2 linked regions of the Arabidopsis thaliana genome follow. The main gene of each other region encodes a partner of the protein of the gene in region 2 in a complex. Each region holds a gene or a part of one and is shown on either strand. Other genes may lie near its edges. A codon is read from its position in the direction of its gene.

Region 1 (5,490 bases), on a different chromosome or scaffold from region 2:
TACAATATGTATCTGACCTATTATGACGGACGATGATAGAACGCTTCTAATAACGCTATAGTATAATTAAATAGCGGTTTTCGGACACTACAAATGCTCCATATTCTTGTAGTGAAATTTTGATAAATTTGGAGAAAACCTTAGAAGTAGAATAGTTTCTCTCAGTTCTATTTATTACACATTAGGCTTATTTATAAAACAATTCTTGACTTACATAGAAATATATGTAAAAACGATTTTGAAGAAGAAGGACAAAAAACAAACATGATATCCAATGAGAAGAAAAAACAATCAATATGTGAAAAGCCTAATGTGTAATCAATACTAGAGATTTGTAATCATTTGTTAGGAAAGCACAAAATAAACATGGAAAAGAAATTAATGTTGAGAGAAAAACAAATATGAATGGGATCAAAAGTAGAAAACTAGGGCATGACATGGGGTCAACTTAGAAAGTTTATACCAAAACATTAATAATTATTAGGTAATTTACCTTATAATTAAAAAAATTATAATGTTATGGGGTTAAATGATCCCCTCCTCCTTAATTGGCTCCGCTCCTAGATATCGCCATTAAAAACCAGTGCATTAACTTCATAAACAGAAAACAACTCTTCTTAAAGTTAAGATGGATAGCTAAAAATGATCTTATATATAGAGAGAAACATTCCAAACTTCAAATAACTCGCTCTAATTACTGCTGATCAATGATTAATACAAGGGGTTATCAAGAGTTTGAAGGAACAAGAAGCCTAATCGTCAAGCCAATCCACGGTGAAGCATTTTTTGGCGACTTCAATGCAAAGTTCAGGAACCACCTTCTTGACCATTTCCCACATAGACGAAGTCTCCTCATCGCAAATGACATGGCGTAGAGACACAAGTGCAGCTACAGAACTTGGTAAACCCAATAAACTGCATTCTCTCATGTCAATTTTCTCAAGACTCCCTAGCTTTCCAAACTTTTCAGGAAGAGAAACCAGGCTGACACACTGTGAAATGTCAACGTACTTTAGACATGGCAGCTCACAAACTTCGACCGGGAGGGATATCAGCTCGGGGCAGGCATATAACCTTAGACGTTCAAGGGACTGTACGTTACTCAAATTCTTGGGCAATTCAAGAATCCGTGGACAGTTGGTTATGCTGAGAGAGTTGAGAGAGGTTATTCCAAATATGGATTTTAGTTCCAAAAGATCATCACAGTGATCAATAGTGAGATCAGACAAGCTTGGGAATATTTTCGAGATGTCGAATGACGTCTGAACAAAGCTGTTCTTGACCTTACAAAAGATTAGATGTATCTTGTGCAGGTTTTTCAGTGGAATGGTGCAGCTGGTGAGTTCAGGGACATGTACCCTCTTGAGCCAGAGACTCCTCAGTTTGGCCAAATTGGCAAAGATGGAGAAGCCATGTAGACGCGCAGGAGACATGCCATTGTTGATAATCACGAGCACCCTGAGTCTACTCATCTTACCAATAAATGGTGGCAAGACGTAGTTGTCCGAAGAGAAGTTCAGTATTAAAACTTCTGCCTTAGGGAGGTCCATGTCAAACCAATTCATTTCATCCATTTCCCCTAAAGACACAAAAAAATCTATCAAACCTGATACGTGATAAGAGTTTTAGGTGTTTTGGTTTTATTTTAGTGGCTTTCTTATTTATCACGTTAAGAAAGTCTAGGATTACGAGTTCAAAGACTAAATCTTTGGCTCGTATCAACTTGAAGACTCTAGTCACTAACCAAATTCATTTAAAGTTAAAGAAGTCTTGCCTGTATGAAGGGAAACTATCTTGGCATCAAATGGCTCATCTTTATTCTTTTCCCATTCTCTTGGAAGCACTGGCTCTGTTTTTGGCATTAATAACCGCTCTCTCCTATTTACGTCCACACGATTGGACATATGAAGGGCTAGGTCTCTCAAAACATCGTGTTGCGTCACAAATACATCATAGTAGCCAATGTGCACATCGCCAAACCTGCAAATTTATGATATGATTAATCCCACTGAAGTGTTGGTACAAGAGACAAAGTCATAAAAGAGCGAATACCTCGGATTGTTCACTATAGTAAGGAGATTCTTGTCAGCTAAACGAAGAACAAAGGAAAACGCAGTTTCCTCGTCAATATCATGCCTCTCAACCCACACGCTCGTGAGAAGATCAAGAGGGATCTTCTTGTCTTCAGGGAAAGCACCCATATCCAAGAAACAGTCTCGGATTTTCGGGTCGAGGTTTTCTAGACTTTCTTCCATATGAGCAAACACTCTGCTCTCATGAGTTTCATCAGCAGCTTCTCCTCTTAATAACCTCTTCACTACGCCTTCCCAATATCTTTCAGGTTTGTTTTTTAACGAAGCACCAAGAACTTTCAAAGATAAAGGTAAACCTTTACACTCATCAACAACCTACCAAACAGAGTAACAATTTTAGTATTTGGAAGCAAAGTGTGTTTTTAGTTACAGATTCAAATATTTATAAAAAGGCATTAGTACCTGCTTCACCAAATATTTGTTGAATGGAGAAGGCGGGGACTTTTGTTCGAAAGCACAGAGACACAAAAGAGACATTGCTTCATCTTTCTTTAATAATTCCACATTGTAGGTGGTTCTAGGATCTGCAAGCTTGGACCGTGACACTACTAAAGTAGTGCTTCCACGAATTTTAGACATCAGCCTGTCCAAGGACTCCCTTGTCCAAACATCATCAAGAATCACTAGCTTCCGTTGATGAACTCCATCATAAAGAAATTCTCGTATACAAGACTCCAAATTCTCAAAATTCGGAGACCGTGACACAGTCAAAAACAAAACCTTATTCTTAAAGAGTCCTGCACAAAAATCTTGATTAGAACTCATGACCATCAACACAAAACAAAATTCAATAAAACTTCACAAACCTCGAACATCATCGTCCTTTGAAAGCTCTATTGCAAGAGTGGTTTTCCCTGAACCGCTCATTCCAGAGATCCCAAACAAATGTGTATCCGTAAACTTAAACATCATCTCCTTCACCTTTTTCTTCCCCAATTCCAATACCGTCTGAATCTCCGGATCGCTTACCGTCTCAATCTCCATCATAGTCTCCGGAAACGACAAAGAATCATTCCGCTCAGTCAACAGTCTATCCATATTCCTCTCAATCCTGTCACCATTGACCCGTAGATGACATACCTCAGCAAGAACAAAGAGCAAAATCTGGCTGTTGAGGAAACGAGATATTTGTTTCTCGAGATCCTTCATCTTATTCGCGTGGTACACATGTTTAAGGTTCCACCTATTGCATCTTAAAACCTTTTCACATAGCTTTCTTGCTTTCTCCAAGATCTCATAGAATACTCCCAGTTGAGTTTGGTGATGGTTACTCAGCTCCGCGCCACTGTATTGGATCTCCCTGATCGTTGGTTGAACGTCTCTGATCATCGTGATCAGTCGTTCGGCGATTCCTTTGCAACTGTAGACTGTGTTAGCTACTAGAGCGAGCAGCTTTAAGAGTTGCGTCGTGATGTCGCCGGCGAAAAGATCTATGAACGAAGCCATCGAGACCGATCTTGGAGTGTAAGACAGAAAAAAGAAAGTGAGATGGTTGAGTGGTAATAAGGGTTGATACGTTTTTAGATTAGAAAATAGCGAAGAAGACGAAGTTTCTTAGCAACTTCCAATAACATACGTTTTGTCGTTTAGTGTTTTAAAGTTTTGTTTCTGCGGTAACACATGTAATAGCTTTGTAATAGATTTCAGAGAATGTATGGATCTTATGGTTACGTATCAGTTTTTCACTTATTATCAAACAGATCGATTTAGTAGTTTTTTTTCGAATTCGATTATCTAGACAAACTCTAAATTACGATATTCCCTAATACGGCCATACGGGTTCAATCACTTTGGGAGTGTAATTGTTTAAAGTTAGCTAAATCCTATTTGGATTAATACCTCTAATCTTGTTTTTTTTGGTCGCTATCTCTATCTAATTTAACTAATTGGGAAAGAAAAACGATCCCATATGCAACCTTGTTTATAATTTTTTTTTCTTGTGATTATTTGGTGTTGATATGTGTATAAACTATATAGGGATTAGGGACTCGAACTTTTTCAATGTTTATTTTGTAGCTTTTTTTTTTTTTTTCCTTTTGACGTCGATTTGTAGATCTAATCATCAAAGATCACTTTACTCTTTTTACGCGTTTTGATTAATATTTTATATATTTCTTCAAATTACTTAATGGTATATATACACTAGTGTTGGTCCAGCTCCAATGGGGTTACAAGAACCGTATTCGCAGATGGGAAGCCGCATGTGTACTATACGGTGGCTGGAGAAGGCATGATGGTTCAACAGCCATTGCCTCAGCCTCAACCGCAGTACCAGGGAATAGTCAACCGGTTAGTACCATGTGTTGTGGAAAAAAAAAGGTGTTACCGTGTTAGGTAAGAATTGAGAAAACATTGGATGTTAAAAGACTTGCTTCCACACTAACTAATCCACATGACACATACTTGTCATATCATTGAGGGTGTGAGTCGTGTGACTAGTTGACTTTAATAGAAGAAAACAAAAAGAAAGGGAAAAAATTACATGTATTAGTCCAACAAAAGAAATTGGAAGAAAATTGTTTCTTCGAAAAATATCAAAAAGTAACTAAATCACATGAATTCTTCCATCTTCAAAGCAAATAAAAATTATTTTTCTTCCTGATGTGATTATTCTATTTTTCCATTTATTCTATATGTTTAACCAGTCACAGCCTTTTAATTAAATTTTACTTAGCGACAATCATTATATTGTCATTATCATTTTGATCATCTCAAGTCTTTGTCCTTATTATTTGTTGCCAAATTAATATGTCTCAATCCAGAAACATGGGTCCATGTAAAAGCTATCATGTCTTTGTCATTAGGATTCAAATTGATATCCATCTTCCCCTTAATTGTTCCCAAATTTGTCTTATCAATTTTATTTCTTGTCTTTACCTCATCAATGGATATGATGTCAGCCAGATTGGTTCTAATTCGGATTTTTTCCTCCAAGTTCCGCATTTAACTGAGTTGGTTAGAAATAAGCACACTTTCCCAGTGTTTGCATAAATAGTGTTTATAAAGACATACCAAAAACCTAATTAAAAAGAAAACAATTCCACTCGGATAGACTAAACCAATTAAAAACCATAAAAAAAACTAACTAATAAAAAAAAAACCAAAAGCACTCGGTTCTTATATTCAGATTATTCTAGTAACTCGTTAATCCATCAAAGTTTATGAAAACGCTATTAAACACATACAATAGCGTTTATCTTGAGTTAAAATGTCTATTTTTTCTTGTAGTACGCGACTTAACGATTTCGTGAAGTCAACATAAGTTAGCGATTAAATTGATAAGTCAATAAAAGTTGGGTATATATTTCATCGAAGAAAGTTGAGGTTTGTATTCAACGAAATTTGAAGGTTGACGCATTAAATGCTTAGTTTTAATTTGGTCTAACCTTAAATGGTT
Region 2 (5,157 bases):
ACCAAATATAGTAGATTTTGTGCATTTATTACTTCAGGAGATGGGGATGATTAGATTTAGAGGGTATTGTTTGTTTAGGAAACTTTTTAAAGTAATCACACTAATTTAGGATTTGTGATAAAGTTACCGTTAAAGGATATGTATTGACTAAATTAAATTGTTGTATAATCACAAGATTTTGTTATGATAGAAAAGGTTATTATATGATTACTTTTTAACTATCATGGGGTTAACTTTGGTGGTGGTTGTATATTTGATCAAGCTGAGATTTGGTGTTTATTTTAGTGGGTCCTAAAATGATTTTTAAAATGGATCTTAGGAATAATAAAATTTATCTTGTGGCCATAAATTTAGAAAAGAATAATCCATCATAAGTTAAGCAAGATCTTCTCTTGAGATTTGATTCTATATAAGCCGGTGACATGTTAGGCCCTCCAAAACTTTATAATATATGTTTTAATTGTTTGGGTTGCATAATCTTAGGTAGGGTCATTTATAAAATCCCAATCCTCGTGATAGACACCTCACATGCCTTTGCTTATTACTAAGGAACCAAACCCTCTTTACCAGATTAAGTTTAATGATTATCATATATGAGCTGGCCATTTTCTGTATCCAAAGTTATAAACTTTATGGAATTAGATCACTAACATTTGGTTCCTTATATTTATTCAGATGTCTTGAAGAAGGAGCTGAAGATTTCTTATTGAAGCCTGTGAAATTAGCTGATGTGAAGAGATTAAGAGATTCTTTAATGAAAGCTGAGGAAAGAGCTTTTAAGAATATTATGCACAAGAGAGAGCTTGAAGCTAATGATATCTACTCGCAGCTAAAACGCGCAAAGATCTGAGTTTATCAGATTCCACGTACGATATGTTCTTTAAAAGCTCAAAGATTCACACACATGCATGTCCTGATTCTTTCGGCTTACAATTTTTGAGACATTACGGCTTCTTTTGCTGATAGAACCAAGACTGATCAAGAGTGACAAAGATGGGTTTTTATAAGATAGAAATGTAAATTGTAGACTTGGATTCATTAGAGAGGAGAAGAGATACATTTTTTTTTTCTTTACATGAGAGATATGTAAAATGGTGGTGTGTTATTTTGGAAGTTAACATATGAATTTCTTTTGTTAAGATTACTTAAATAATGATTTAGGAATGGATTAGTAGTTTAGTACCGTTCATTACACGAAGACAAGCTAATCTTTTGTCTAATTAAAATAAAGCTGTCTACATGAATCGAATCCAGCGAGATAAGTTAGTTATTTTAAGCGTTGGTTGGAACACTTTACATGGCTTTTCGTAGAAATTTCCCCAAGTTGGGTTTTATTAAGACCAAGAAAATTCTAGTCTCCTAGACTTTTTTTTGTTTCTTTTGTTAATTTAGTCTCCTAGGCTTTTTCATTCTATCTGAAAGCAAAATATGGTTATGCAATTTGGTTTAGCCAAAAAAACAAACTAAATTTTTCTAGTCCGGTTCATGTAACTTCATAATCAAACAAGTAAAAGTCGAATGTGACGCGTCTTGCCGAACGCAAAAACGGACCAGGCAAGAAGGTGTAGTTAGTTAATTCGGTTAATATTCAGCTGAGAGAAATCGAACCGGTTCCATATCTTGTAGATTATCCGGTTTACTTTCCGGATAAGATTTATAAGCAAAACAGAGTTAAAGTAGTAGATTTCTTCTATACGAGACCAAATCTGAAAACCCAAGTCAAGCTACAAAAACTTAACTCCAAGCGAACAAATCTCCTCATTCATTAAACAACAAAATTGTTTTCCGACAAAAAAGTGAATATCATTGAGTTACTGCGAAATCCCAACCGAGAGTGACATCTCAAACCAAAAGATGGAGTCTATATTAAAGAGACGAAGACTCCAAAGTCAAGCTACAAAATTTCCAAGCAAAGATTACACAGAGAAAACTTTCCGACCAAATGTGAATGTTTATGAAAGTTTCTGCGAAACTCCAGTCATGTCGGATGTACAAAGCCATACACCAATGTAAAACCGACACGTGGAAAGCTAAGATTCCTAGCTTTTCTTTCTTCATGAGTCTCCAATAGCCAAAGAGTCAACTCCAAAAAAAAAAACCCATTTTTGCATTGAAATGGTCTCATGATGGGGTATTTTGGGTAACTAATTAGTCCTGTCTACATCTTCCCATAAATTAACAGAGTAGGAGCGGATTAAAGAAGCAAGACGATTCAAAAGAAAAAAGAGAGAAGAAAGTCCACTAAAGAAAAGAGAATAGATATAGATCAATGGCGTTTGAAGCTCTTACCGGAATCAATGGTGATCTAATCACCAGATCATGGTCAGCCTCGAAGCAAGCTTACCTAACCGAGCGCTATCACAAGGAAGAAGCAGGAGCAGTCGTAATCTTCGCTTTCCAACCATCTTTCTCAGAGAAAGATTTCTTCGATCCGGACAATAAATCTTCCTTTGGAGAAATCAAGTTGAACCGTGTTCAGTTTCCTTGTATGAGGAAAATCGGTAAAGGTGATGTAGCTACTGTTAACGAAGCTTTCCTCAAGAATCTTGAAGCTATCATTGATCCAAGAACCTCATTTCAAGCTTCTGTAAGAAGATTGAAAACATCCGAATATATTTTTCTTTTTTTTTCTTTTTTGGTCTCTTATGCTTTTACTTCTTCAGGTGGAAATGGCTGTGAGGAGTAGAAAACAGATAGTGTTCACAGGACATTCCTCAGGAGGTGCAACTGCAATCTTAGCAACAGTTTGGTATTTGGAGAAATACTTCATACGCAATCCAAATGTTTACCTTGAGCCTCGTTGTGTGACATTTGGAGCTCCTTTGGTTGGTGACTCTATCTTCAGTCACGCACTTGGGAGAGAAAAATGGAGCCGGTTCTTTGTGAACTTTGTCTCAAGATTCGATATTGTCCCTCGGATTATGCTTGCTCGAAAGGCGTCTGTAGAGGAAACTTTGCCTCATGTTCTTGCCCAATTGGATCCCAGAAAGTCTTCCGTCCAAGAGAGTGAACAGAGAATAACAGAGTTTTACACAAGGGTGATGCGAGACACATCAACTGTTGCAAACCAAGCTGTTTGTGAATTGACTGGAAGCGCAGAGGCGTTTTTAGAGACCCTTTCTAGTTTCCTTGAGCTAAGTCCTTATAGACCCGCCGGTACTTTTGTTTTCTCTACAGAGAAGAGATTGGTTGCAGTGAACAACTCGGACGCCATTCTTCAAATGCTGTTTTACACTTCTCAAGCCAGCGATGAACAAGAATGGTCTCTAATTCCATTTCGAAGTATCAGAGATCATCATAGCTATGAGGAACTGGTACAGTCGATGGGAAAGAAGTTGTTTAATCATTTGGATGGAGAAAACTCAATAGAGTCTACGCTCAATGACCTTGGAGTGGTAAGTCTCTCTCTCTCTCTCTTTTCATACTGTGCAGCTCCATAGCTCCATTCTTGCAATCATTTAAACCCTTCAGAGTGTTTCCTTTTTCTGCAGAGCACAAGAGGCAGACAGTACGTTCAAGCTGCATTAGAGGAAGAGAAGAAACGAGTAGAGAATCAGAAGAAGATTATTCAGGTTTGTGGTTGATAAGCTTGTTCATGAATAATGCAGGTACGTGCTTCGTCTGTTTGTGTCTAACAACATAAAACTTGTTGGTTCTGTGGTTTTTAGGTGATCGAGCAAGAGAGGTTTTTAAAGAAACTAGCATGGATAGAAGATGAATACAAGCCAAAGTGTCAAGCCCATAAAAATGGGTATTATGATTCCTTCAAAGTTTCAAATGAAGAGAATGACTTCAAAGCAAACGTCAAGAGAGCTGAGTTAGCCGGTGTTTTTGACGAGGTGCTTGGTTTAATGAAGAAATGTCAACTTCCAGATGAGTTCGAAGGGGACATAGATTGGATCAAGTTAGCAACTCGATACCGCAGATTAGTTGAGCCTCTTGATATTGCAAACTACCATCGACATTTAAAGAACGAAGACACAGGGCCGTACATGAAAAGAGGAAGACCAACCCGCTACATATATGCTCAGAGAGGCTACGAACATTATATACTGAAGCCAAACGGAATGATTGCAGAAGATGTATTTTGGAACAAGGTAAATGGTCTTAACTTAGGGTTACAGCTAGAAGAAATTCAAGAGACTCTAAAGAATTCGGGATCCGAGTGCGGATCATGCTTTTGGGCTGAGGTTGAAGAACTCAAAGGAAAGCCATACGAGGAAGTTGAGGTAAGAGTTAAGACATTAGAAGGGATGCTTGGAGAATGGATCACAGACGGGGAGGTAGATGATAAGGAAATATTTCTGGAGGGTTCAACGTTTAGAAAGTGGTGGATTACGCTTCCCAAAAATCACAAATCGCATTCTCCTCTGCGAGACTATATGATGGATGAAATAACAGATACCTGAACCTTAGGTGGTGGAGTATTTAAGCTATTAGAACACTTGCTTCTCTTAATTTGTGCAATAAGAAATGTTTATCAATCTGGTTTCCACTTCATGATGATCTTAGAATAAGAAACATGTTGTATGATCATTGTGAAGTAATGTAATAGCTCTCTATTCTAATGTCAAATTTGGTTTCCACTTTACAGTGATCTTAGAATATATACGTTACTCTACTAAAGCCTAAAGCCATCTCAAATAGCATGAACCAGTAACAAACAACCTTCCTTAGATTGAAATGGTCTCATGATGGGGTATTTTGGGTAATTACTCCTGTCTACATCTTCCTACTATATTAACAGAGTAGGAGGACTAAGAATCAAGACGACTCAAAAGAAAAAAGAGAAGAAAGTCCACTCAAGAAAAGAGAAATGGCGTTTGAAGCTCTTACGGGAGTCAACGGTGATCTAGTCACCATATCATGGATGGCGTCGAAGGGAGCTAACCAAACGGAGCACTATCTCAAAGAAGAAGTAGGAGGAACCGTTTTTTTCGCCTTCCGAGCATCTTTCTCGTCGGAAGATTTGTTCGCTACGGAGAATACATCTCCCTTTGGAGAAATAAAGATGAAGCGTAATCAATTTCCTTGTATGAGAAGCATCGGCAACGACGTTGACACTACTGTTAACGAAGCTTTCCTCAAGTCACTTGAAGTTCTCATTGGTCCAAGAACCTCATTTCATGCTTCTGTAAGTAAACAAAAGCTTCTTAA

What was found.
Region 1: the proteins of EDS1 (region 2) and ADR1 are in contact, whole or in part, in a cryo-EM structure (PDB 8ZW9), measured with the Arabidopsis thaliana proteins. Residues at the interface, in NP_190392.1 of Arabidopsis thaliana: Asn414 (codon at 3,777), Glu416 (codon at 3,783), Phe419 (codon at 3,792), Val423 (codon at 3,804); in NP_174620.2 of Arabidopsis thaliana: Phe780 (codon at 779), Thr781 (codon at 776), Val782 (codon at 773), Asp783 (codon at 770).

Annotation. Positions count from the first base shown.
Region 1 is NC_003070.9:12,167,141-12,172,630, reverse strand, and holds ADR1 (Disease resistance protein (CC-NBS-LRR class) family), read right to left. Parts: upstream 3,864-5,490; 5' UTR 3,540-3,863; coding exon 2,900-3,539; intron 2,831-2,899; coding exon 2,496-2,830; intron 2,409-2,495; coding exon 2,053-2,408; intron 1,981-2,052; coding exon 1,775-1,980; intron 1,580-1,774; coding exon 753-1,579; 3' UTR 512-752; downstream 1-511.
Region 2 is NC_003074.8:17,754,805-17,759,961, reverse strand, and holds EDS1 (alpha/beta-Hydrolases superfamily protein), read left to right. Parts: upstream 1-1,814; 5' UTR 1,815-2,269; coding exon 2,270-2,587; intron 2,588-2,663; coding exon 2,664-3,395; intron 3,396-3,491; coding exon 3,492-3,572; intron 3,573-3,668; coding exon 3,669-4,409; 3' UTR 4,410-4,633; downstream 4,634-5,157. Other genes in the region: RR5 (response regulator 5), read left to right, coding at 676-850; AT3G48080 (alpha/beta-Hydrolases superfamily protein), read left to right, coding at 4,817-5,134. UniProt on the Arabidopsis thaliana protein: Positive regulator of basal resistance and of effector-triggered immunity specifically mediated by TIR-NB-LRR (TNL) resistance proteins.